Linked DNA regions of Oreochromis niloticus. The protein of the gene in region 2 purifies or fractionates together with the protein of the main gene of each other region. This does not show direct contact. Links are inferred from orthologs where the notes say so. Each region holds a gene or a part of one and is shown on either strand. Other genes may lie near its edges.

Evidence for each region. Proteins that work in one complex are often made in the same cells at the same time.
Region 1: the proteins of serine/threonine-protein phosphatase PP1-gamma catalytic subunit (region 2) and peak1 purify together in Homo sapiens (affinity purification with mass spectrometry; 6 studies listed by BioGRID and IntAct, counting the BioPlex papers as one, with this or other methods). This does not show direct contact. The link is inferred for Oreochromis niloticus from reciprocal best matches to the Homo sapiens genes PPP1CC and PEAK1.
Region 3: the proteins of serine/threonine-protein phosphatase PP1-gamma catalytic subunit (region 2) and ccdc85cb purify together in Homo sapiens (affinity purification with mass spectrometry; 5 studies listed by BioGRID and IntAct, counting the BioPlex papers as one, with this or other methods). This does not show direct contact. The link is inferred for Oreochromis niloticus from reciprocal best matches to the Homo sapiens genes PPP1CC and CCDC85C.

The regions. Positions count from the first base shown.
Region 1 is NC_031972.2:45,118,652-45,126,418, reverse strand, and holds the start of peak1 (inactive tyrosine-protein kinase PEAK1), read right to left. Parts: upstream 3,373-7,767; 5' UTR 3,167-3,372; intron 1,470-3,166; 5' UTR 1,270-1,469; exon of another isoform or gene 1,155-1,269; intron 1-1,154. UniProt on the Homo sapiens protein: Probable catalytically inactive kinase. Scaffolding protein that regulates the cytoskeleton to control cell spreading and migration by modulating focal adhesion dynamics. Acts as a scaffold for mediating EGFR signaling.
Region 2 is NC_031977.2:6,410,364-6,418,709, reverse strand, and holds the start of serine/threonine-protein phosphatase PP1-gamma catalytic subunit, read right to left. Parts: upstream 3,065-8,346; 5' UTR 2,693-3,064; coding exon 2,638-2,692; intron 2,225-2,637; coding exon 2,093-2,224; intron 1,956-2,092; coding exon 1,725-1,955; intron 1,552-1,724; coding exon 1,447-1,551; intron 1,207-1,446; coding exon 983-1,206; intron 1-982. Other genes in the region: myl2b (myosin, light chain 2b, regulatory, cardiac, slow), read right to left, coding at 4,773-4,877, 4,978-5,026, 5,104-5,182, 5,265-5,369, 6,639-6,714, 6,802-6,891, 8,224-8,226. UniProt on the Homo sapiens protein: Protein phosphatase that associates with over 200 regulatory proteins to form highly specific holoenzymes which dephosphorylate hundreds of biological targets.
Region 3 is NC_031980.2:2,937,722-2,945,843, reverse strand, and holds the start of ccdc85cb (coiled-coil domain-containing protein 85C-B), read right to left. Parts: upstream 3,373-8,122; 5' UTR 2,643-3,372; coding exon 1,928-2,642; intron 1-1,927. Other genes in the region: cholesterol 24-hydroxylase, read right to left, coding at 4,343-4,495, 4,584-4,650, 4,778-4,866, 6,505-6,615, 6,700-6,784, 7,078-7,150, 7,709-7,774, 7,902-8,064. UniProt on the Homo sapiens protein: May play a role in cell-cell adhesion and epithelium development through its interaction with proteins of the beta-catenin family. May play an important role in cortical development, especially in the maintenance of radial glia.

The sequences.
Region 1 (7,767 bases), on a different chromosome or scaffold from region 2:
GATCAGCAGGAAGAATAAGAAAGCTGTGGGACTGCGAGCAAGTTATTTTCTTACTGCTAAGTCAGACATCTAAATTTTGTGCACGCAGCTAACTCAGTTCCAAAAATTCCAATCCTAAACTCCTATGCTCCAAATGGACACAACATGGGCACTCCCATGTTGATTTGCTGTTCGACTTTATGTTTTCACTTAAATATGAAAGACCTCATTAAGGTATAGGTAAAATTGCAATTATGCAGCAGTGTATCTCAGGACGTGCTACGTAACACCAGAGTAATGTAGCACCTGTGTAAGTAACAAGTAATGTGCAATAAACTGACTTTTTCGAATAACATCCAACATTAGGCACCAGGCAGAGCGGATAATGGCACTGACATCAATAAAGCTTCATCAATATACCGACCTCATCATGAGACTCAGATTAATCCATAACATATTTTACTTTAATGTGTTCAGCACTGTCACGCTGCTCTGTACCAGAGTAACGATGTTTAAACACAAAGCTCATTAGCTCAAACTACAGCAATTTATGGAGAGCGAAATCATGTTTGTATGTTTTCAACTTCATAAAACATTTAAAAGACAACACTGTAAACTTCCTATCTAGAGGGATAATATTACTGACCCCGTGAAATGAACAATAATGCAACACATAATCTACTGATGAAGATTCTTCAGCCATTCTGAGTCATATTCTTGGTTACACCTGACTAAAGTTTGCACTGTTAAGTTTTCATACTACAACTTTTTTTTTTTTGCAAATCCACAGGCTGTGATTTATTTATTGAGAAAAAAAACTGTACCAGGATCCACTTAAAAAAACAAAGAAAAAAAAAAACAGTATTTGACAAACAAATAGGAACGACGCCCAGTTCAGGTAAAACTCCAGGTCACTGAACTAACCAACAAACAAAGACAACTTTCATTCCAGTTCACAACACAAAAAGATTCTGAGACATGTCTCCGAGCCAACGCATCATCCAAGGCATTTACAAAAAGGAGCCCAGTGTAACGTAAAAGGTCATTTAGATCCCATTTATATCATTTCCAGTTTGGTAACATAGATCAGCACTACACCTGACAATCTGTGATGGGCAAACAGAAAGGTCAAAGGCAAAAAAAACGAAAATGCTATTATATCTTGCTCCAATCACCTCAGCATATACTGTAGCCCTACTGCCAGACTGCACCTCCATCAGTCAAACAGCGAATCACAAAATCTCATGCAGCTCTGTCAACCAGAGAAAACACTGTCTTCTTGTTGCTCACCACAAAGAATGTCAGGTATGTTCGCAACTCTGAGATACTGCAAACAATCCAACAATTTTTGTGTTCGCACACTTCAGGAGGGGGGATAAGCATCCACAGGGCACTTATCAGAAGGGAAATCTGAGATCGGCAACTTGGCCTCCCTCTCGTCTGCCTCCACCGGGTGAGGTAACAATCCCAGATGCCCACCTTTGTTGACACTGTAATCAAAACAAAAGAAAGGAGCAAGTAAAAACAAGGACCGACAACCTCAATCCCACATGAACGCACAAAGCAGAGGTCGTTTATCAAGAGCTCAGCGTCCGCTTCTGTCAACTTTTGCTGGCAGTGACTCGTGACACTGAAACAGAAGAATGTTTTACTTTTACAATCGGTGATAAAACAAAAAACAAAACAAAAAAAAAAAAACACCAGACCACTTAATACTTAATTCCACTAAAGTAAAGGGTATTTTAAGAAATCTGGCAATTCTTGTTTTTCCTCCTCTAAATCCATGACGATCTTCAAAAACAGCGGGACAGACAGTTGACTCTACAGATAACACACCTGGCTCGACAGATGGAAGGCAAAAGTATCACTTTTAAAAAAAAGGGTTCTCGATCTCAGTTTTTAGGTAGCAATTTAAGGAGGGTTTTCACAACAGTAGTGGTGAATTCTGTATTATATTTAAAGCTGTAGATTATAATTTCAGCCTTGTGATTAGGCCATATTAAAAAAACAAAACAGAAAAAAACAAGGTGACACAACAAACAGATGCATATAAAAATCAGTCCCAGTGAAATGCAGGACAACAGCATCTATTTTATGCAACACAGGTCCCACTGTGGGGTTTGATTTAAATGGCTAGTTGAGTGGGATACAGCAGGATCAGGTTCTCTTTTCTTTCTTTTGGGTTTTGTTTTGTTTGTTTTTTTGGTAAGATGATCATGTGATCATGAAACCCAGTGTTAACAATCAGTTGAATCTTTGAGTGGGAAGAATGACACACAAACTGGTGAACCGACACCTGTTTATCGGTATGGCAAGGAGGACTCTAGCAACCCACTCACTCCAAGCAACCAGGAGGTGATCTTTAAATACATGCAGTTTATGCATTAAAACAGTACAATCTATAGGAGCACTACATGCATGCAATCAACATGCAGAAAGTTGATTTTTCTTTTTAGTTTTGTTGCATATAATCTGCACATAAACCCACGAGTGTTCGGCAGGGAGGAAAGTAACAGTGCTGAGAATAGCGAAACATCCTCTTTCCACTGTGTTTGTTATCCCCATTCAGGGTGGTGACTTCTCTCTCTTTCTCACGCCTGCACACGCACACACGCACACACACACACGATCCCATCTCCCACTCCCCACTAAAAGACCCGTGGTGGTCCCTGGACCCCTGTTTGGTCAGCAGTTTAAAGTTGAGCTCTGCCTATCCCGTTTTGTAAACACGGGCAAGCTGTGCTTTTGGGACGGGCTCAATTCCACACCAGGTGTACGCTAAACCACACACGAGTGGCATCTTTTTGTTTGTGCGTTTGTTCTTAAACAAACTGATCTGTAGCCCTCCACTTCAGCCTTCACTCACTCAACTTATGACAGCAGCAGCAGCAGCTATGTTACAAAGTCAGCACGCAGTCACTGATTAGCTCTCAGTTCGCTGAAGCCGAGCACGGCTAGCAAACTTCTCCACTGGCTTCTCCTCACATCTCTATCCTGCACAAATCTGACATTACAAGACAGAACCGCTAGTTTTGGGGGGATTTTTTCCTCCTCAAAGACACGCCATACCCTCGCTGACAACCTGGAACTTGGGCAGCCGCAAGAAACTGGCGAGACTTGTGGCTGAGACACTTTCAATTTTGCGAAGGGGGGCGAAAAAATGAACCCAGAGCTAACTTTTCCATACCTTTTTGAACGGCGAAGAGCTCCTCGTCGATACTATCACTTCTTGGCAGCCATGAACCCCGCTTCTGACAGCGTCGCCCTCGGCAGGAATAACGACAAAATCTGCCTGTGTTGTGCGACTGTGTGAGTGTGTGCCGCTCAACTCTTGCCAGTGCCCGTGATTTCTCCCACACCGCTCCTCTCTGCGTGGCTCCAGCAACAGCCGCTGCAGTTTTTTCCACCAGCCTGGCGCGGGAGCGAGCGCCCGCGATACTGGGCTGGCCAGAGAAGCGCGTGAACGCGCAGTTTTCAAGAGAGGCGCCGAAGTGGGAAAAGTGGCCTTAAGAGATAAACAGATCCGTGCGCTGTGACAAGGTAGTACAGATGCACACAGGGTAGTGTGTTAGCGATTGTGTAAAGCTTTCATTTGCCCTTGCGGTTTGTGTTTAGCTTAACCGAAATACACATATGTAGTCTTCAGGAAATCTGACTTCACTTTTACCATTTCTATATCGAGTGCGTGCATTTAAAATAAAGCTTATCTGAATACTGAGCGACTTCACTATAAATGAACTGAAAGAGTTATTTTCAGTAAAGCGATAAAAAAAAACACCGATGCACTCTGCGAGTCTATTCTCATCTATTATTTGTAGTCCTGCTGTTGTGACATTTGTACAGCGCCATGTCCTTTCTGTTAATGGCAAACACGGTCATTATCGGTGACGGTAAATGATGACGTTACACTTCAAAGCACAAATTCATTTCCAATACTTCATAATCAAAAACTAATTATTCAAAACCTCATCTGTCTTGGAAGGACAGTTTAAAAGGAGGAGGCAAACAGATGGATTCAAAGGCCCCTGAGTGCGTGCGTGTGTATGTATATGTGTGTGCATGTGTCTGTTTGTGTGTAATAGTTATTGAAACGCGTTGAGTGCAGTTATTGAGTCTTTCGTTGACGTCATTCTTCTCTTAAGGGATGGTGACCAATGGAAAAAAAGAAATCCCCTCCTCCTGCTGCCTTCAGGCCCCCACAGCCAACTGAGTGTTAAAAACTCAACAGATATGAAAACACATGTAAGGACAAATGTGTCATTTTTTTCTAACAGTTTGTACACTTGGCAACCAAGTGTGTGTGTGTTTAGGTTAGAGTATCAAACTTTGGTGTGATAGATTACAGATTAAGGGTTTTGGTTTGTGCCTAACAGAAAGGCAATACTGACAGGGGGTAACATTTGTGGCTTCGGTTTCACCTTGGAGGAAAAATGGTAAATTAACATAACACATAAATAATATCCTGGGTGGCCGCAACCTTGGTTTAATGGTACAGATCACATATTCTATCAGAGAACTTGGGAATAGGAGGAGAACCTGAAGGCAACATACTTGGGGAAAGGAGGAGGAGGAAATGAGCCAGAGGTTGACATGTGGGAATGACTAAGTTTTGTCTTTCTTTTTTTTTTTCTCATCACATTCCAGACATTGTTTCCTCCTTCTTACTGCCCAGGTCCTGGGCACTGAGGCCAAGGACTTTCCAGGGCTGGAGGAGAGTGAGTATGAATGAATGATGGATAAAAGGAAACGGAAGGATGACTCTGATTTTCTTCTTTTGCCATGTGCAGAGTCACTTTCTCCTTCTCCAATTAAATAAATACAATGAAGCGGCATTGTTTCATCCTTTGTTGCCCCAGGCCTTCTCTATGAGTGCCATGCTTGTCTGAGTAATTTGAAGAATACGAGCTTGTAAAATTACAAAAAATATTTTGGTATCGCAGTCGCACCCGACTCAGAAGTGTCTTAATGCAAGAAAAAAAAGACACTTCTGTATTTTTTGGACTGCTTTTTATGTTGTAAGCAAAGAACATTTCATCACAGTGGGAGCCGGGTTCAATGCGAGAGTGAGGCAGAGACAAGGAGATGTGAGTCAGGGTCGGCCGGCAAAAGAAAAGCAGTGAAGTTTGGACTGACTCATTGAAAGTAAGTGCACTGTCCCTGATAATAAAGCAGAAGAAAAATGACATGCAACTTTTTTTCTTTTTTTCCCTATTATGGAACTAAAAGAAGCTGACAGACCACACAGGAGAACATCCATCATCGCTGTGAACCTCAGACGCCATTTATCTTGCTACATTTCTGTCTCATACTTTTGCTCGTTACAATGTGTTATTCAAGTAAACCCTCCAGAAAAACCTTTTCTTTTGAAATTTGAGGTGTTATCCATCCCCCGTTACTGTAAACCTCTTACTTCCAGACATAATGAGAATCTGCATCAGCAGATCAGAAACAGACCTTACAGAATGCGTCGGTTCAACTTTTTTTGGCACAAGACGACCGAGACCACAGCTGCAGAGAAGCTGCTCTGCAGCTGACCATAATAAAAGACTTTAATCTCCAATCTGGGAAATCAACAGCCCAACATAAAAGTGATGCTACTGAACCGGTTTGATCATCTGAGCCCGTTTAAAGATAATGAGTAGTATTAGAAGTAAGGCAGTGCATACAAGCATTTCCATAAATGCATACCAGCTCATGTAATTAAGCCAACGCCAGCTTAGCTCAAGCCTGACTGACTGACAAAAGGTAGGCTCAATCTGACCATAATAGTGCATGTTATTATGGGAACAGAAGCCATTCAGGACACTGAGAGCGTCAAGTGCCAGTTCAGCACATGACGCCTGACTCATCCTCTCTCCTCTGAGTCACTCCCTCCCTCTTTTGGTCCAGGATCAGTGGCTCTCTGCTCCTCTCTCCTAATGTCAACCATTCTACGGACTGGATACCGGCCAGCGATGCAGACACTGCCCCGCTGAGGAAGAAGACTTTTTTTATATAATTGTTTTGTATTCCACCGGGTGTTTCTCTGTTAAGACAAAAGACTGGGTGTGATGACGGCGTGGCAAGAAGAGGGCAAAAAGAGACGTCACGAGGGACCGAAGTGCTGCTTATCTGTCCCAACAATTCTGTCATGTCCTAAAACAGAGGTTATCACACAAGGAAGACTGGCTGCTTGGAAATAAGAGGGCAACATGTGAACCTCAAGGGAAAATGTGATAACAAGGCATCACAGGAGCCGCTACCGTCTGCAGTGTATTCCTTTTCCTTGTTGCTTTTACAGCTTTGGCCTAATATCAAAGGGAGAAAAAAAGCTGTAGTTAAGCCCATTATACAAATGAGCTTTGTGATCTACTGCACACACTGAAGCCATGTACATGAAAGGTGAAAGGTGATCCTCGAAGCAAAAAAGGCAAGCAACTCTAATAACATATGAGATCTCAATGGTAACAGAGCTCTGCAAGATCAAATTTCTCACCCGTAGTATTTGGCATTGCAAATCAGTTGATCATGTTTGTTGACGCTAACAGGCGTGAATGTACACGTGGGTCAACAGGGTTGAAGCTGAAGCCAGTGGGAATGGTGGGAATGTGGATGTTTCCCGAGTTATCTCTTTGGGGGTTTTTCAGCGAGGAGAGGACTGAAGAGAAGACCAAAGCTATACTGGAGAGCTCATAAAGGAAGACCATGCTGTTAAATGGATGGATAGGTAGACGCTAACTTTGGTGACCATGAGTCTTTTTATCTATCGCCACCAGCAGCTCAGGCTTTTCACTTGACAACTGGGAAATCTCAGGATTCAAATTTTGTAAACATTGTTTTATCATACGCGATCCTGAATTCTCCTCTAGCACTTGTAGAAACCTGCAATCAACTGGGATCAGGTTATCTTCCAGTTTGCAAATGTTATCTGGAAATAGAATCTGCTAAGCATCAGTACCTTAACACGGTCACTGTGAACACGTTTATTCTAACATTGCTCTAGTCATAGTCAGGTTAATGTACAGATTGCTTATGTGCATAAACAACATAAGGTCTTTAACAGTAAATACCCTCAAAAGCTGGCATTTGATTGGCTTCTGGGCTGTAAAATGTCCGACTTTCACAATGACCTGTTTCCAGAGGTGTCTTCACCAGTGCTGTATCGTGTACAGGTGCCAGGAGCTGGACTTTTGCAATGCAGTGGTCAGCAGTTGTGCATTACTAGTTCACTGTATGAAATGACATATTGTCTCTGGGAACAGGACATCTGTTAGGAAAAATGTTGGCTGTGCTGCCATGAGACATTATGAAGAGGAAGTGTCAGTTGGCACAAAAGGAAACGGGCATCAGTGAAAGGAAACAGGAAGGGCTCACAATGTAAAGTCAAAAGCTAATATAGTACTATCTTTAGACTTCATATCCAGGCCAGCTTCACATCAGAGAACAGAAATACTTGCATTCAATTTCTATAAAAATCGCAATATAGAAGTGTTTTACTAAAAAGGATTTACAGCACAGCCTTCTCCTGCAGCTTAATATGATTATGAGAGGGTAAATTCACAAACACGATACAGATGTGAGCCATTGCCGGTGAATGTGCTGCAGATTGCAATGTAATTGTATCTCTCTCTCTGCAAATTACAGCAGATCTGCTCAGTTCACTTCAGCAATCCAAATCTTTTTGACTTCACATATCAGCTGCAAGTAAATAGGCTTAGGTACCAGCCAAGTAGATTATAGCAGATTAGCTTCTTGATTTATGTGTACAGTACACCTACTAAAATCTAGGCTTTTAGACAATGCCAAAGT
Region 2 (8,346 bases):
ACAATGCAATCAGTCGATGAGTAGCTTATACTGAATGTTGATAACAGCTTTTGGCCAAAGGCTAACGGAGCAGACTGATTCAATTTTATGTTTGTGGAGCAAATGAAGGGTGTGCTGCATCTGTCTGCGCTTGTCTGGTAGGAGAGGCTCATGACAAAGCGCAGAGAGCTGCACTATGTACCGCGGAAACACCAGCCTATCAGTTTTGCAGCACACAGACAAATCTGATTAGACACTATACACTTCACAATTCATCTTGATACTTCTATCAGCAGCTACATCATCTAGCACACTAGTGGCCCAGGTTTACTGGTCACTATTAAAGTCTAACCTGGCCTCTGGTCAGGAGTTTCAAGTAAAACTTGTGTATTTACGTTCACAATCACTTGTCTTAATTGCAGACTTGACATGCCTCAACAGTGTTTTTCCTTATTAGGCGTCTTCTGTGGACTTAACAGTCGTTGGTGTTACTGATTAATAAATATAATAGTGCATTATTTCTGACTTTTCTGTTACCGTCAGAAGAAACCACTTACTGACCATACTCTATATTTACATTAATTAGCTACACTCTATTCTACTACTACAAGCTACTGTCTATTCTGACAAATGTCTTTCCCACAAAATTACACAAGACTGCACTGAAAGCTGAGCTCTCTTATCTTTGCACTGGCATTAAATGGCAGCATTAAAGTAATTCGTGACTATTCTAACATCAATTTCTCTCCATATTCTTTAAGTCTCTAGATATTTTTTTAAAGTAAAGCTTTAGTTGAACTTGTAACAACCTCTGGAAATACACAAATAATTTTACTTTGATGCAAACGCAAGCCAAAAAGGTCAAAACCCACTGTCCACAACACGCACCATGTGTGCTAGTATATTATCTCCCTGTACCAAGTGTTTCTTGCCTCTGGCCAGTACACGGCCACCTCCCACCTCCCACAGTGACGTTTCTGTTTGTGATGACGGAGGTGAGTACCTGATGGGCACGACAGATCAGGTCCAGGTCATGCTTGTGCAGGAACTTGGCTACCACCTCTGAGCCAAAGGTAAATGACACACCTCTGTCGTTCTCCCCCCAGCCCAACACATCCTTGTCTGGATCAGACCAGAGTAAATCACACAGCAGGCCCTGGTCAGGCACGTCAGTGGGACGCATGATGCGTCTGATCTGCTCCATGGACTGAAGGTCAGGGGACAGTCCTAAATGGAACAGTAAAGTAAAAGTACAAATAAACACACTGATACTGAGGTCAGCACCGATTGGAACTGGGTGAGCTTCATGTCAGGTAACAAATTGCAAAGACAGCGTTTCTCAAGGACAAATAAGAAACGCTGATATCAAATGTACACAACTTCTGACATCATGCATACAACCAAAAGACTGTAGAGTAGATAGTAGAGTTTTGTGCCAAAACATTCATTCTGCGCATTATAACCCACCGCCATGGCAGCAAAAGATCTTCTCATCAACAATGGCGGCAATCGGGAGGCAGTTAAAACAATCTGTGAAGGTCTTCCAGAGTTTGATGTTGTACCTTCTTTTACCTAACACAGTAAGACAAGAAATTATATTTAATTTTTTCCCATTATCTCATACCAACAACCTCCTTCAAACAGTTTAGCCGGCAAAAGAAAACGCAACAGAGAATCTGACAGGTACCCTTAATGGACACAAGAGACCCCAGGCTGGACATTTCTAGTCATTCAACAATACTCACACTCATCATAAAAACCATATATTCTGTTGATTGAAGCACACTCATGGTTTCCCCTCAGCAGGAAGAAGTTTTCTGGGTATTTGATTTTGTAGGCCAGTAGAAGACAGATGGTCTCCAGTGACTGCTTCCCCCTGTCCACGTAGTCCCCCAGAAACAGGTAGTTGCTCTCAGGAGGGAAGCCCCCATACTCAAACAGCCTCAGCAGGTCATAGTATTGCCCATGGATGTCACCTGCAAGGCAAAGATACCAAGCTGAATTATACACATTGCTCTTTTGAGTCATAAACCACTTATCATACGTCAGTACATACTATCAGCCAATTGCTGAGTCAATCTTTTCTGGTAAGTAAGTGCACAGCTTTTCTTACCACAAATCTTGAGGGGGGCCTCCAGCTCCAGGAGAATGGGTTGACTGAGGAAGATCTCCCTGGACTTGAGGCATAATCCACGAATCTCGTTCTCCTGCAGCTGAACATTCTTGCCAGGTTTTGCTCCTCTGACTGGAACAAGAAGACAAAAATCAATAAAAGTCAGTAAGAATAACACCTAAACACTATTCCAGCTAACCCGGGCACGGTATCTCTGCCCGGACGCCAAGTGGGACAAACGGTGAGTGTAGAAGCCATATGCCGTGACGGAATTCGCGGTGTTTGTGTATGAGAACACAGTGTACGTGACATGTCGTTTCACACCCTTCAGACACACCAATATTCTGACTCAAGAGACGCATTATATAAACCTGGTAGCCAACATTAATTAAAATAATAAGTTATCTTGCAAATATTTCTGATTATTGTTACTAATTATTGCCACAAGATGAACACCAGCTAAAGCTAGCTATCTACTATTAGCATTTACCATAACATTTAAATAATAAAACAAGTGTTTCGTGGAAATTTTAGTATTTACTTACCTTCTAAAAGCCGCTGGATGATACTATCTATGTTGAGCTTGTCAACATCAGCCATTGCAAGCGTTGGTGTTACGAAAAAATCGCTCCAGTAGATCTAGGTCTTCGCGTTGACACACTTGTGAAAGCTAGCCCGCTAGCTATCCTAGCATTAGCTTGCTAATGTTAGCTTCGTCTATTTTCCGGCTGAGGGTAAAAGATGTTGCCGTGACCCTGATACTGTTTAGCCGCTCGCCGACACTTTTGACAGGCTAATACGCTACTTAAAGATCGCGATTTTAAAAATGCCAACATCAATTGTTTCGTTTTGTTAAAAAAAGGGACGGGGACTATAAAAAAATAAGCGTCAACCAACACAAGCGGTTGCTAGCGACGGTGTCCCGTTTCTGTTTTTCCTTTGCCGCACCTTGTACTGCTAAAGCCAGCGGCTTGTGCTGGTAGCTGCTACACTACTGCCCCCTACTGTGCTGGATGGGGACAGCTTAAGACTTTATGAAGTCCTTTAAATTTTTTTCTTTGGATATTTGTTGATTTTTCACTCATTTTCAGTCCAGTCCTTGTACCTGACCATTTTCAGAGGGATATTTTTTTTTATTTGCGTGTTTTGTAAGCTACTTAACCCACAAAAGGGACCTAACTCAAGAAATGAATCAGTGTTGTTTCTACACATAACACACGACTTAGCGCAGAACCAATTTTAAACTGTACGTTGAGCCACTTTGTTATAGCCACCTGACACAGTACCTGAACGTCATGTCGTTTGGACAACATGACAGTGATACCAAACACACTGCCTAAAAGTATATCTGGATGGAAAAACACACACTATGGTTTGGCCTCCTCAGTCACCAGCCAAGTCCTCAACATTATCGAAGCAGTGTGGGATCATCTCAACAGAAAACAGAATAACAGGCAGCCAACATCCAAAGAAGAGCTTTGATTGTCCTTCAAAAAGCCTGCAGAACTATTCCTGAAGACTGCTTAAAGAAATGGCAAGAAAACGTCCCTAAAAACGTTCAGCCTGTTGTGAAGAATAAAAGTATTCATATCAAATATTGACTTTGAAGTTCATTAGAAATTTCTAAACTTTTGGCTTATATAGTCTATTTCCATGTATGCTTGATCTTGTTTCAATAAATTGCTCCACTTATTTTCCATTTTCCTAGCAAAGTATAATGAAATTAGGTTTTTTCACCATACCGGATATTAATTTTACAGGTTCCTGTTCTGTGTTATCTGAAGAGGAAAGAATTCAGTATGATGAACACTTTTGCTTCAATTTGAAAATCAGTTAACCAATAAAAACCTTAGAGACGCACCAATTTCTAGACAATCAAGAAATTGATTTACATGTAAAATAAAGATAAAGGGTATACAGTAAGTGTAATTACAGATTAGCTTCACCATTAACAGAAAGTGAGCTATGGTGGAGTAGCCACCTATTCTTCCATGGAAAAGTGGATGCAGACTGTTTAGAGTTTAACTTTAACATATATTTATTTAAAAGTTTTAGCTGTGATTGATAAAGTACAAGTATAGTCTCTAAATAGACACTGCATCTTTCAGATTAGCTGAGGTTAGTGAAAACCTGGGTGCAGTTGTTGTTTAATGAGTAGAAATTACTCCCTTTGGAAAATAAACCTTTAAACAGAGCCTTTTAAAGGACACACTGTCTACCTAGCAATCCTTTCCCTTATATTTATACACTTAAAGTACTCTTTAAGGCAAAATTGAACAAATGGGTCTTGGAGCTTCTGGGTTCCAGTGTTCTTCTACTGATCAACTGTGAGCACTGAAATAAAATGACTATATACAGATAATTAAATATCAATACTTATGGAAGATGAAATACACTGAGATTCAGCTTCTCCAATGCATCTCTCTGAGGTTGAATCTTTCTTTATTGATTTGTCAAAAACATCTGACGTCAAATACACTTTTAATTTCACCTTTGAAGAGATTACTAATTTATATTCAAATAATATACATACATATACATGTTATAATCATGAATGAATGAATAATGAACACATTGATCCATGTGCACATTCAAAAACTGAAGCTGAAGTTAGTTACATTTTTGCTGTCATATGTGATCATATCTCAGCACAAGTACGACCCGGTGAGGGAGGACGTGATTATTCCTGGTCTTTCTCTTCACCGTGTGTGATGACATAGACGAGGTTCTTGTAGTCCAGGTTCCCTGCCACATCTGGAGGGAACGCCTGAAACATCTGCTCCATCTTTGGGTACGAAGTAAAAAGAATGGTTACAGAGCGTATCTGCATTTATAAAAACTCAAGGCTCCACAATCTGTTACATCGTCGGAGGTGGAGCACTAACCTCTTCAGCAGAGAATCTGTCAGCCTGGGTCGTCAGCATCTCTGTCACACTGTGAAGACGAGCAGTGATGATCAGCAAACGAGATGCAAATATCACGAGTCGCTTAAGAACCAGACTATTACTCACAACTCTTTCTTTAGTGTTCCTTTTCCCTCAGGGTCAAAGACTTTAAAAGCATTAAGGATAGTCTCCTCTGGGTCAGCACCTATAGATGAAAAGTGGCAGTTCTGCATTGAAGAAAAACAATTTCACTTTTTTTCAACGTCATATAACGGCAACTCGTTTACCTTTTAGTTTCTCTCCAAACATGGTGAGAAAGACAGTGAAATTAATGGGCCCTGGTGCCTCCTTCAGCATGTCATCAATCTCTTCTTGTTTGACATTTAAACGGCCTGAAAAACATGGAATATATGGTGAAACGGGGGTTGCAATTAATGCTCATTTTTTAAACTGATATTTTATTGATGGAAAATAGTCCAATAAAGAGATTAAAACAAATCCACAAAAGCTCAATGGAACTATTAGATGGGTTGACTATACCATCCAGCCCAAAATGACCAAAGAAGGAATTAGAAGAGGATGCAATTGCTGGAAATTTGGAATAACAACAGTTTTCCAGCTTTGTATTAAAAAAAAAGAAATCTATAGAGATTTTTTCAAGGCACATTCTACGCTTGGTCCTTTAAATATAATCTAAAACCGCTGGAACATTTAAACAAATGTAGAACATGAAGTCAGCAAGCTTGATGGACAGTATTCAATATAATACACAAAATTTTCCAAAAAAATTAAACAAAATTGAATCCCAGGTCGATAAAGACTAGAACAGATTTGTTGCAGTAAGTTAAGGTTCTTCTTATACAAAATAAAAACTAAATGAACAATAATAAAGAAAAATGAGGTGTGGCTTTTGATAAAACTCTTTGAATGACTATCTAATCAATGTATTGGCGTAGAAATGGAAAATGGAATAGATCACACCACAAATGTTCGGAATAACTAGCTCAGGCAATAGCTATCATTATATCCAGAGGACATAATGTTGTTTATTGCAAAATGACTCAGTTGCAGGTTTAATACATTTAGTAGAAACAGTTGGAGATATTTCCGGGTATGCAGTAAATATGTTGGCAGTAAACCCTAGGAAGGAAAACATATGTATTAAAATAAAAACACCGGGAAAGGTTTTGAAACTCTTTTTGAAATATGTGGAAGATCTGGATCTGACCAGGAGTCAGTCAGTATCTGTTTGTTGTGAACCATGTGTTATTTAAAAAGATAAAAATATCCTTTTAATGTAAATTGGATCATGTTTGTTTGCTGTGCTTTTCTTGTTTAGTCTGTTTTGTATTCTTTTTAATAGGTTTGCTTGTTTATGTATAATATTAATAAGTCTTAGGTTGGGGGAAAAAAGTCCGCTAATGATTAATCTGATGACTGCTACAGCTCAGTTTGTCAGTTATCTGTTTCTTCAGACATTATTTTAAAAATGGTAATTATACATCCCAGAACTCAAGGTGAGTTCTACTAGCTGAGACAATGAAATTCGTGCATGTGAGAAGCTGGAACCTGAGAATTCCTAAGGTTTGTTTTTTGCTGGACTTGTGTAATGTAATCATGTGAAACCATCACAACAGAAACGTGACACACAGTGAGTTTACCTAAAGCTGCAAAGGTGTCCCTCAGGTCATTCTTGTCAATGAAGCCATCTCTGTTTTGGTCCATGATAGTGAACGCCTGCAGGAGTATACACAGCGAGCAGACATCGCAGTGAGTAAACCGCTCAAATTCAATGTGAAAGAAAGCATTTGGCAGAGTACCGACTTCTTTGAACTCCTGGATCTGGGCCTGTTCAAACATGGAGAACACATTGGAGCTGGCTCCCTCCGCTCTCTTCTTTGCTTTCTTGGGTGCCTGTGGGGGGTTTAACGATGACACTCTTAATTAGATCCAATAGTAATGACACACGATCGTCACCTGGCTCTTCCGTATGGCTTTACTCGTTATCGGTTTTACTGTCACACGTGGTAATGAGCCAACGATCAGCTCACTCTCACTAAGTGCGTGTGTGTGTGTGTGTGTGGTGGTGGTGGTGGGGGGGGTGCATCCATTGCACAAGAGGAAAGGTTTGTACTGGGGGGCACACATTTCATTAGTGAGGATTACAAACACTGTCAGTTTGTTATGGAAATATTTATTCGAGCCTCCAGTTTTGGGAGCACACAGGGTAAGCCTAGGGAGGGTGTGGTCCACTGCCTGCACTCTCATAGTCCCAGGATCACATGAGGGATTATTCTATAGGGTCTATGTGATGACAGGAGGGTACACTGAGCCCTGTTTGATCAGAAATCCCTCAGAGGGAAGGATTATGTTGAGCTATTTACATGACTGCCAAGAAACTGTGAAAAACACTGTAAGGGGGATGCAGCGCAGTGACATCATGTTGCTCGGATTCAGGGTCCTCTCGACAGCTGCTGTCTAACCCTTGTTGTGGATTAGCTCTTGTATATCTCATGGAAGGGACCTCTGGCATTCGGATACATTTATTTAATTATTTATTTTGTTTTAAGAGGATTCATGTACTCGTGGGCAATGAGGCAGAATTTGCCATTTCTTGCTGTTGCCCAATGCACATCACTGTTGGACCAGCGGAAACTTTATTGGGCCAAATATTACACGAATAACCACTGACCTCTTCATAGCCTGCACCTGTTGCTCATGTTTCTCTGCTGTCTGCTCCGCACTCCCTTTGTTTTGCTCTTTCCAACCCGGTTGGCTGCTCTTCTAAGTCTCTTCTCTGTTTTTTGCTGCCTTTCTCTCACCTCTCTCCTCTTCATCCCTCCCATTTCCTCTCCTTAAATATTGTGTGTGTTTTAAATGTCATTGTTCTGTTTTATTGTAAACACGGAGGAAAAAGTCGCAAGTAAAATATATTTTTTTTAAGGTTAAGGCTTTCCTTACCGTCTCCTCCTTCTCAAGTCGAGTAGACAAATATCTCATCAATAGGACAACGGGAGCATTGTCCGATTGATTATTTAAAGAAAAAAAAACATCTCCCAACATACTGACATGGAGTACATTGGTGCATTATCTGTTGTTTGAAAAGAGCAGACTTTGATGGACTGTTATACAGATATCTACAGTAAACACATTAATCACACAGCAGAAACAGAGTGTCTCCTCACAGTCTGGCGCTTATTTTAAACAATGTTAAAGACAATAACAATGAGATCTGTATCCACTCACCATGTTTCAGTGTTAGCTGGATTTGGACCAAGCAGTATCCTCGCTGCTTTATGATGGAGCAGCCCCCAAAACAAGGGGCTGATATACTCACCCCTCTCCCATCTATAATGGCGCATGCTTATG
Region 3 (8,122 bases), on a different chromosome or scaffold from region 2:
AACAGCCAAGATGGAAAAACAAATTTAATAGTTGACATTAAAAAGTTTAAGGCAACTTAGCTCAAAAAGAAAGTTGTTAGTTTTAGACACACAAAAAAACCCTTTTGGTTTTCTCTGTGTGTGTGTGTGTGTGTGTGTGTGTCTGGCAAGCTGACAGATGCTGTTCATTTAGCACTTGTGCAGCAATCCTCGAGCTTGTCTGCTAAATGCCCAGGGGAGCCACTGGCATTTGGACAGCATTAAATAAAAAGCCACTCTGCAGACCTCACACCACGTCCAGATCTGACCTCGCAAAGATGGCCACTCCACTCAGATTTCAACCAGCCAATTGAGTAAATCTGTGCCGGTGAAGAAGCCCGTTCTACTCACCCTCCCCTCAGCCTCGCTCTGGCATGTAACAGGTAGCCAGGCAGCTATTCGAGCAAGGTTTTAAGAATTATTTATTCGGGGTGGAAGCGATGAAACACCTGCTTGACCGGCATGCTTCTGGGTAAAGCAATCTAACATGTGTAAATAACAGCTTCCTATGAGAGTAGCCTTGCTTTTTCCTGACATCTTAGGAAATGTCAATAGCTGTTCTGTTACTTACCAGACTCGCGCTGTTTACAGCACAAGGATAATTTGCGATTCTCGGGGTTGTTTGGGACTACGCAGCGTCAGTCTCATTACAAATGCATAGGTTTTAACAATGAGATAATAAACCTCTCAAATGAGGCGGCCCTTTCCCATGCCAGCGTATTGTTAGAAATGTGTACATCATTGTCAGTGATGAACACACAGAGCCTGAGACTCAGGGGCGCACAATGTCACACACACACTCGCACATAAAGGCTGAGAGAGGCGCTAGGCTGCCGCAGACACAATGTGGATGTTACATAATAACAGCCGAGCAGAGACCAAAATGTTGCGTGTTGTGCGAGTATACGTGCGTGTGTATTTACGGATTAAGGGCTCCCTCGTGCATGCAACCAGTCTTTTATATTATGTTACCTTCACAGTTTTCTCAGTGCACAATTCCAGGAATGTCCAATGGATAACATGTGACTGGTGTGATCTGATTTGAAGCTGCTTGCTTTGAGCCTAAATTGTGCTGCAGTTGCCCTGTCCTTGTAAATCAGGGTAAAATAAAGTCCAACCCCCCCCACAAACACACACACACACACACACACACACACGTGAAACAGACTTTATTCCTCTCGCAAAACAGATCACAGTGGGTTATGAGCCCGTGTGCTTCCTAAACGAGGCTTAGTGTCCTCCTGTTCCATCATGGCTTTTTCATCCCCACTTGCAGCTTTCAGTCATGTATTTAGGTCTTAAAAAACAGGGACATTGACTTCTGGTTCCAAGCCATGCATTTCAAACGGGGGCCCTAAGCAGATATGAGTGCTCTTCCACAGCCAGAGACAACAAAGATAATCAGTGAACGACCCCAAGGAGAAAAAAATCAATCTGCTTGATCCCCTTTTAAAAGCTATTAAGATAAGTCTCCTTCACTGAGAAGCACAAGTGCAGTGACCTAAATCAGTGCAGACATAAATGACAGGTTGGCGTGGGGGCTGAAAAGGCCACTTAAGAGATGCTGTGTGTTTCATAATCACCCCAATCAAGACTTTACAGTGAGGTTAAGCCAAGACCCCATGGGTGTTAATCCATCCCAACAGTTCTGATCAGCATATGCGGCCACAGCAAGCACATACACGCAGTAACTACACAGTGTGCCTCTATTAGCAGCAGAGCCCAGGAATACAGGTGTAAGGGCCAATTCCCCATTGTTTAAAGAAAGAATGGGACCAAAGTATTTATTTAGGAACTTTTAGATTCCGATTAGTCGACGACCTGCTTTACTTCCCTACAGAAACCCCATGATGTGGGCCATGCATGATGACTAAGGCAACCAGGTGTGTTTACAAGTGCATGTACTCACCATTGAGTCCATTGGGGATGCTTCTGTGATGATGTGGCGCTGACAGGTCATCCATGGATCTTCTCATCGTGGGCCCCATCTTACCGTTCTCCGAGGGCTTGTGCATGTGGTTGTGATTGTGGTGATCGGGGCTACCGGCACTTCCTGTGCTGGACGTGCTACTCCCATCTCCAACATCCCTGACCGTGCTGGTGCCCCCGTTCAGGTTGGTCAAGCTGGACTGACTATCTATGGAGCTCCGGGACCCTGCCCCATTCCTCTCTTCATCCAGCATGAGGATGATCTCCTTCAGTTCAGAGTTCTCCCTCAGCACAGTCTCCTGGTTGGCCTCCAGCTCCTTGAGCTTCATCATGTAGGTGCCCACCTCCTTCCACATGGCGCTGGCTGTGTAGCGGCCGAAACGCTGCCACTCCCGGGACAGCTTCTTGCCCTTCTGTCGGTCGTCGTCCAGGAAGCAACAGAGCTCCCGGAGCTCGTGGTTGTCATCCTGGAGCTTCTGGTTGATCTCCTTTAGGTTCCGGATTTCATGAAGGTGCACCTGCAGCCGCCGGTTAATGTCCTTCATCATGTTGCCATGCTCGATCATCAAGTTCATTTTCTCACCGTCAACCCTCCTTAATTTCCTAACCAGCTCCTCTTTGCTGCACCGCAGCAGCTCATCGTCCGTCAGCTGGCTCAGGTCATCCTTCGGCCCCTCGGACGGATTTTTAGCCATGACTGTCGCGGCTACGAGTCTCAGTTCGTTTATGCAGCTGCTTAAAATTAACTCTCAGAAACTCACTAACCTAACCTCAATTGTGGAATCGTGTTAAAACACGAATACATTGTCCAAAAAGGGGGGAAAAAATCTGAAAAGTATCGATAATGCCCTGATCTTCAACAGGCCGATAATAAAACTGAAAAAACAAACAACACAAATATGATTGTGATGCTTCCACAACCACAGCTTTTAAAGAAATGCCACCACTGATCTGGTAAGAAATAAATAAAAAATACTCACAGGAACAACAGTTGGTGGTCACAGTCGGTCAGAAACAAACAAGCGATATAAAATCGATTATCAGGGATTTCCGATCACCGAGTCCTGTCGGCAAAAACACAGCGACCCGTAACAGTGTGCACAGTCTCTGCTGGACATCACAACATTCACATGATGTAAAACGTGAAATCCACCAGACTGCTTCTTCCTTTATGTTTAGATGAATTCAACCTAATTTCGCGCAAAACAGCGAATGTTCGAGTAAAACGGGCAACCTATAAGAAAAGCCCTCTTGGACGTGTTTCACCGTCTCCTCGGATAAAAGCGTCTTCAGTGAGGCGGCGCGATAGTGGACGACTCAGTCCTTTCCACCCAGCCAGGCAGCCAGCAGGCTCGGAATTATCAGTGGACCCCCGCCTCTCTCCTTCTCCTCCCTCTTGTCCAAACACTCGGGTTTGAAATCATTCAAGACGATTCAGCTCGAGACGACCAATCAAGACGTGCGAGAGAAGTAGGCAGCAGGTAGATGAAAAAGTGCGGTGCAGCCTCACAGGGCTCAGGCTCGGCCTTCTTAAAGGTACAGGAGGATATGCTCGTCGTAAAAACACACTGGATTCATTAAAGAAGGAGAAGAAAAATCAGACTACGCCTCATGACTTTTATTCTTTATTATTAAATGAAGCACAGATGTATTGTGTACTTTTAATGGCCGTGATTTCTTTGACAATACTTGAGCATTGAAAAGTTGGGCTGTTTTATTGAAATAAGCCCCCAAAATATTTATTTAGTTAAAAAACAAAAATATTTCAACCTATAAAATGACAGTAGGTTTTAGCTACATGCGTATTTAATTAAGTATTAAAAAAATATTACCATCTGTGTTTAAACGAGAGACAACTTCTGAGAGAGTTCTTTTTCTGAACATTGAATTTAAACAGCTTTTTAAAAGCCAGAAGTCTCTGCAAGATCTCAGCGCCCCCATGTGGACACTGTCCGTAAATGCATTAACACGGCAAATCGGGTACACAATCACTGCATAGCACAAAAATATAAAACAATTGTTTCCAAATGATTTCCAATTACATAAAACGTTAATATTTAGCACTTACATATTAGTGTTGTAGGCACAAAGGGGTCTGTGGTTATGAAAAAAAAAGTCACGACACACCGTTATATGAGTCTGTGCAAGATTAAGCAAACAAGTGCAAATGGTATTAAACCTAGCTGTCCGCCTCAAAAAATTTCCAATATGCTCTATATTGTGAAAAATAATTATCACCATCATTTCATATGGCTTTACCATGTAATTCATATCTGATACTGTTTTTATTATAACAATTTATTTTTTTAATCACAGCTTTTAGGCAGGAGTAAAGATCAACACAGTTTTACCCTATAGACCACTATGATTTCTTTTTATGTAAAGTACTTTAAGATCATTTATTTTTGTAATCCCTGTGATTCAAAGTGCACAACACTCCACTCTTTGGTCTGAGCGTGCCAGCATCCAGGATGTCAAAGGTCTGTCCCGGGACAAGAGTGAAGTCAAACCTCTGGAGCAGTTTGGCCATCACCACTTTAGCCTCCATCTTTAAAAAAGCAAAAGAACCCACAGAGATGAGTCAGTGTGTTTATAGGTGAGCGGGTCTTCATGTTGACTTATACTGTCATCCTCACCTGAGCAAAGTTCTGTCCCAGACACGAGCGAGGACCGAGGGCAAAGGGGTAGTAGCAGTAATAAGGCCTAGTTGAACAGATAAGAGACCGCCTCAGTTACTGTGATCCATTTCACTCATTTAGTCTGAGATAATAAAGTGTGTGCAAAGCTGAAACGTAATAAAGTCAGCATGGTGAAACAGTGTGTTCCTTACTTGGGAGCATCTGGGTGAAATCTGTCGGGATCAAATCTCAGTGGATCCTTGAAGAATCTCTCCAGTCTCCCGCTCACATAGGAGCTGAACTGAATATGAAAATAGTTAATTTCACATTTTAATCATAAATGTATTTGTACTTGCTTAAATAAGACCTCATATGTTATGTTTTTCTGACAACTTTGTGACAATTTTGTTTATATGTATACTACCAGTTAAAGGTTTGGACACTTCTTATTTTCTTTATTATGTTTTTTCTTTTTTTTCATGACTATTTACATTGTAGATTCTCACTGAACACATCAAAACTGTGAATCAACACATATGGCATTATGTAGTAAACAAAAAAAAAAAAGTGAAATAACTCAAAACATGTTTTATATTTTAGATTCTTCCAAATAGCCACCCTCTGCACTCCTGGCATTCTCTCGATGAGCTTCATGAGGTCATCGCCTGAAATGTTTTTCCAACAGTCTTGAAGGAGTTCCCAGAGATGCTGAGCACTTGTTGACCCTCTTGCCTTCACTCTGCAGTCCATCTCATCCCAAACCATCTCGATTGGTCAGGTGACATCTGGTGCAGCACTCCATCACTCTCCTTCTTGGTCAAATAGTCCTTAAATAGCCTGGAGGTGTGTTTGGGGTCATTTTCCTGTTGAAAAATAAATGATGGTCCAACTGAACACAAACTGGATGGGATGGCATGTCACTGCAGGATGCTGTGGTAGCCATGCTGGTTCAGTGTGCCTTCAATTTAGAATAAATCCCCAACAATGTCACCTGCAAAGCCTCCCACACCATCACACCTCCTCCATGCTTCATGGTGGGAAGCACGCATGTAGAGACCATCCAGTTGCATTTTCTGCGTCACACAAAGACACAGCAGGTGGAACCAAAGATCTCAAATTTGGACTGATCAGACCAAAGCACAGATTTCCACTGGTCTAATGTCCATAACTTCTGTTTCGTGGTCCAAACAAATCTTATGCTTGTTGCTTTTCCTTAGTCGTGGTTTCTTAGCAGCTATTTGACCATAAAGGCCTGATTCACACAGTCTCCTCTGAACAGTTGATGTAGAGATGTGTCTGCTACTGGAACTCTGTATGGCTCTAATCTGAGGTGCTGTTAACGTGCTGATTCTGAGGCTAGTGACTCGGATGAGTTTATCCTCAGCAGCAGAGGCGACCCTTGGTCTTCCTTTCCTGGTGCGGTCCTCATGTGAGTCAGTCTTGTTGTAGCACTTGCTGATCTTTGAATGTGTCCACAAGTGTAGTCACAAAGTTTTAGCAATTTTCCAGACTGACCTTCAGTTCTTAAAATAATGAAGGACTGTCATTTTTTCTTTACTTAGAATTCACATTACGGCGAGAACCAATCAGCATAGGGCTGTCAGCTGTGTTCCGACCTGACTTCTGCACAACACAACTGATTATCCCAACTCTATTAAGGCGGCAAGAAATCCCACAAATGAACCCTGACAAGGCACACCTGTGAAGTGAAAACCACTTCAGCTGACTACATCATGAAGCTCACTGAGAGAAGGCCAAGAGTTTACAGCGCTGTCAACAAAGTTAAGGGTGGCTACTTTCAGGAATCTATAAAACATATTTAGAGTTTTTTTTATTTTCTTTGCTACATAACTCCATATATCTTGCTTCATATATTTGTTGTCTTCAGTATGTAGTTATCATTTAGAGCTACAAACATATTAAAAAGAAAATGGCTCACAATAACACTAAATCCCCCGGGTATGTGGATACCATCAATCACCATGTCTTCAGCAACATCACGAGACGTGCCCGGAGCTGGGGGGTAAATTCTCAGAGTCTCTTTTAGCACCTGAAGGAAGATTACAATGAGCGGTGCACACTTTGGGTGAGTTATTAAAATAAATAAATAAACAAATAAGTGTACCACGTGTACCTGTGACAGGTAGACCAGCTCTCCTAAGTCATCATAGCTTATGTCACGTTTCATCCCAATGACGTCATCGACCTCTTTCTTTGCTCTAAGAAATAAAAATACAATTTAGAAACATGATGTTTGATATTTGGATGGATCAAATTAGAAGAAGTTACTTTCACACAACGGGTTGACAATCAGATCTGAGGGACACACTGATTGTAAGAACTGGGATCAGGCTGACTGTACAACAACTGTGTCACGGCAAGAAGATTTCTGAAGATCTCACAGACTTTTGTTTAAGTCCTCTTTACTTGTAGGACCTTGTAGGTTCAATCAGATGATGTTTCAGGTTATATTCATGCAAAAATATAGAAAATGTTCTGTTTGACTTCTTACTTCTCCAGTATTTCAGGATGTCTTCCAAGCGCCATGATGCAAAAAGCCAGTTGATTGGCTGTTGTTTCTTGGCCTAAAATGTTACCAGTTTGTCAATAATGCATCAGAATATTACTTCAAAAGGAAACAGCCATGCAACTCTCACTCAAGAGGTTGTATTCCTAATTTCTACATCACAAGTCTTTGAGTCTTAAAAAGCCCAGTTAAGTTAAAATCAATAACATCATTATGTAACAAAAATAGATCATATGTTTCTTTTACTTTGTTGCTATTTTATTCATTTACAAATGTTATCGTCCTGGTCACAAACAAAGTTTGAAAAGAGTAATAAAAATGTATTTTTTTTTACATTTGAGACAAACAGTCAGTGACACAGGAACTAGAGTTGTGTGACACAGTGTGTGTGGAGATATTATGCAGCCTCTCTGGATAAGCATATATCAGTATGCTCTACCATTAACATTAAACTGCAGCACACAGCAGCAGGATACAAATTCACACAGACACCAGTGACCATATTGTGTAAAACTGAAAATCAAACGGACTCTTCAGCACAGTGAGCTTGGTCTCACGCTACAAAGAAGCTTCCAGCTGCATTTCACACATCGAAGCTGAAACAACAGAGACTCACCTGCAATGAAGAATGTCACAAAATTGTCCAGCATGAATTCTTCATCTTCTTCAGTCATGTTTTCCTCTGAAATGAGAAGAGAATGGACATATACATTGATATTTAACATTTTTGTTTTATTTACTTTGTCTCATCACAAAGAGACTAAAATATTGCTCTTATCTAACCAAATGTGAAATTTAGGAACTACAACCTTGGCTTGCAGTTTTGATGATTTGTGTCAGGATGTCTTTGGGGACCTCGTCACCGTTTTGCATGGCGGTCTTTCTCTCACCGATCCACTTGGCTCCAGTTGTACGGAGCAGGCGGCACGCTTCCCTCACCTCATTGACGTATCCTCTGTTCTTTGGATTGTACTGGAATGGCAGACTGAAGGGTTTAGCATGGCATTCTGACAACAATGTTCTTGGCAGA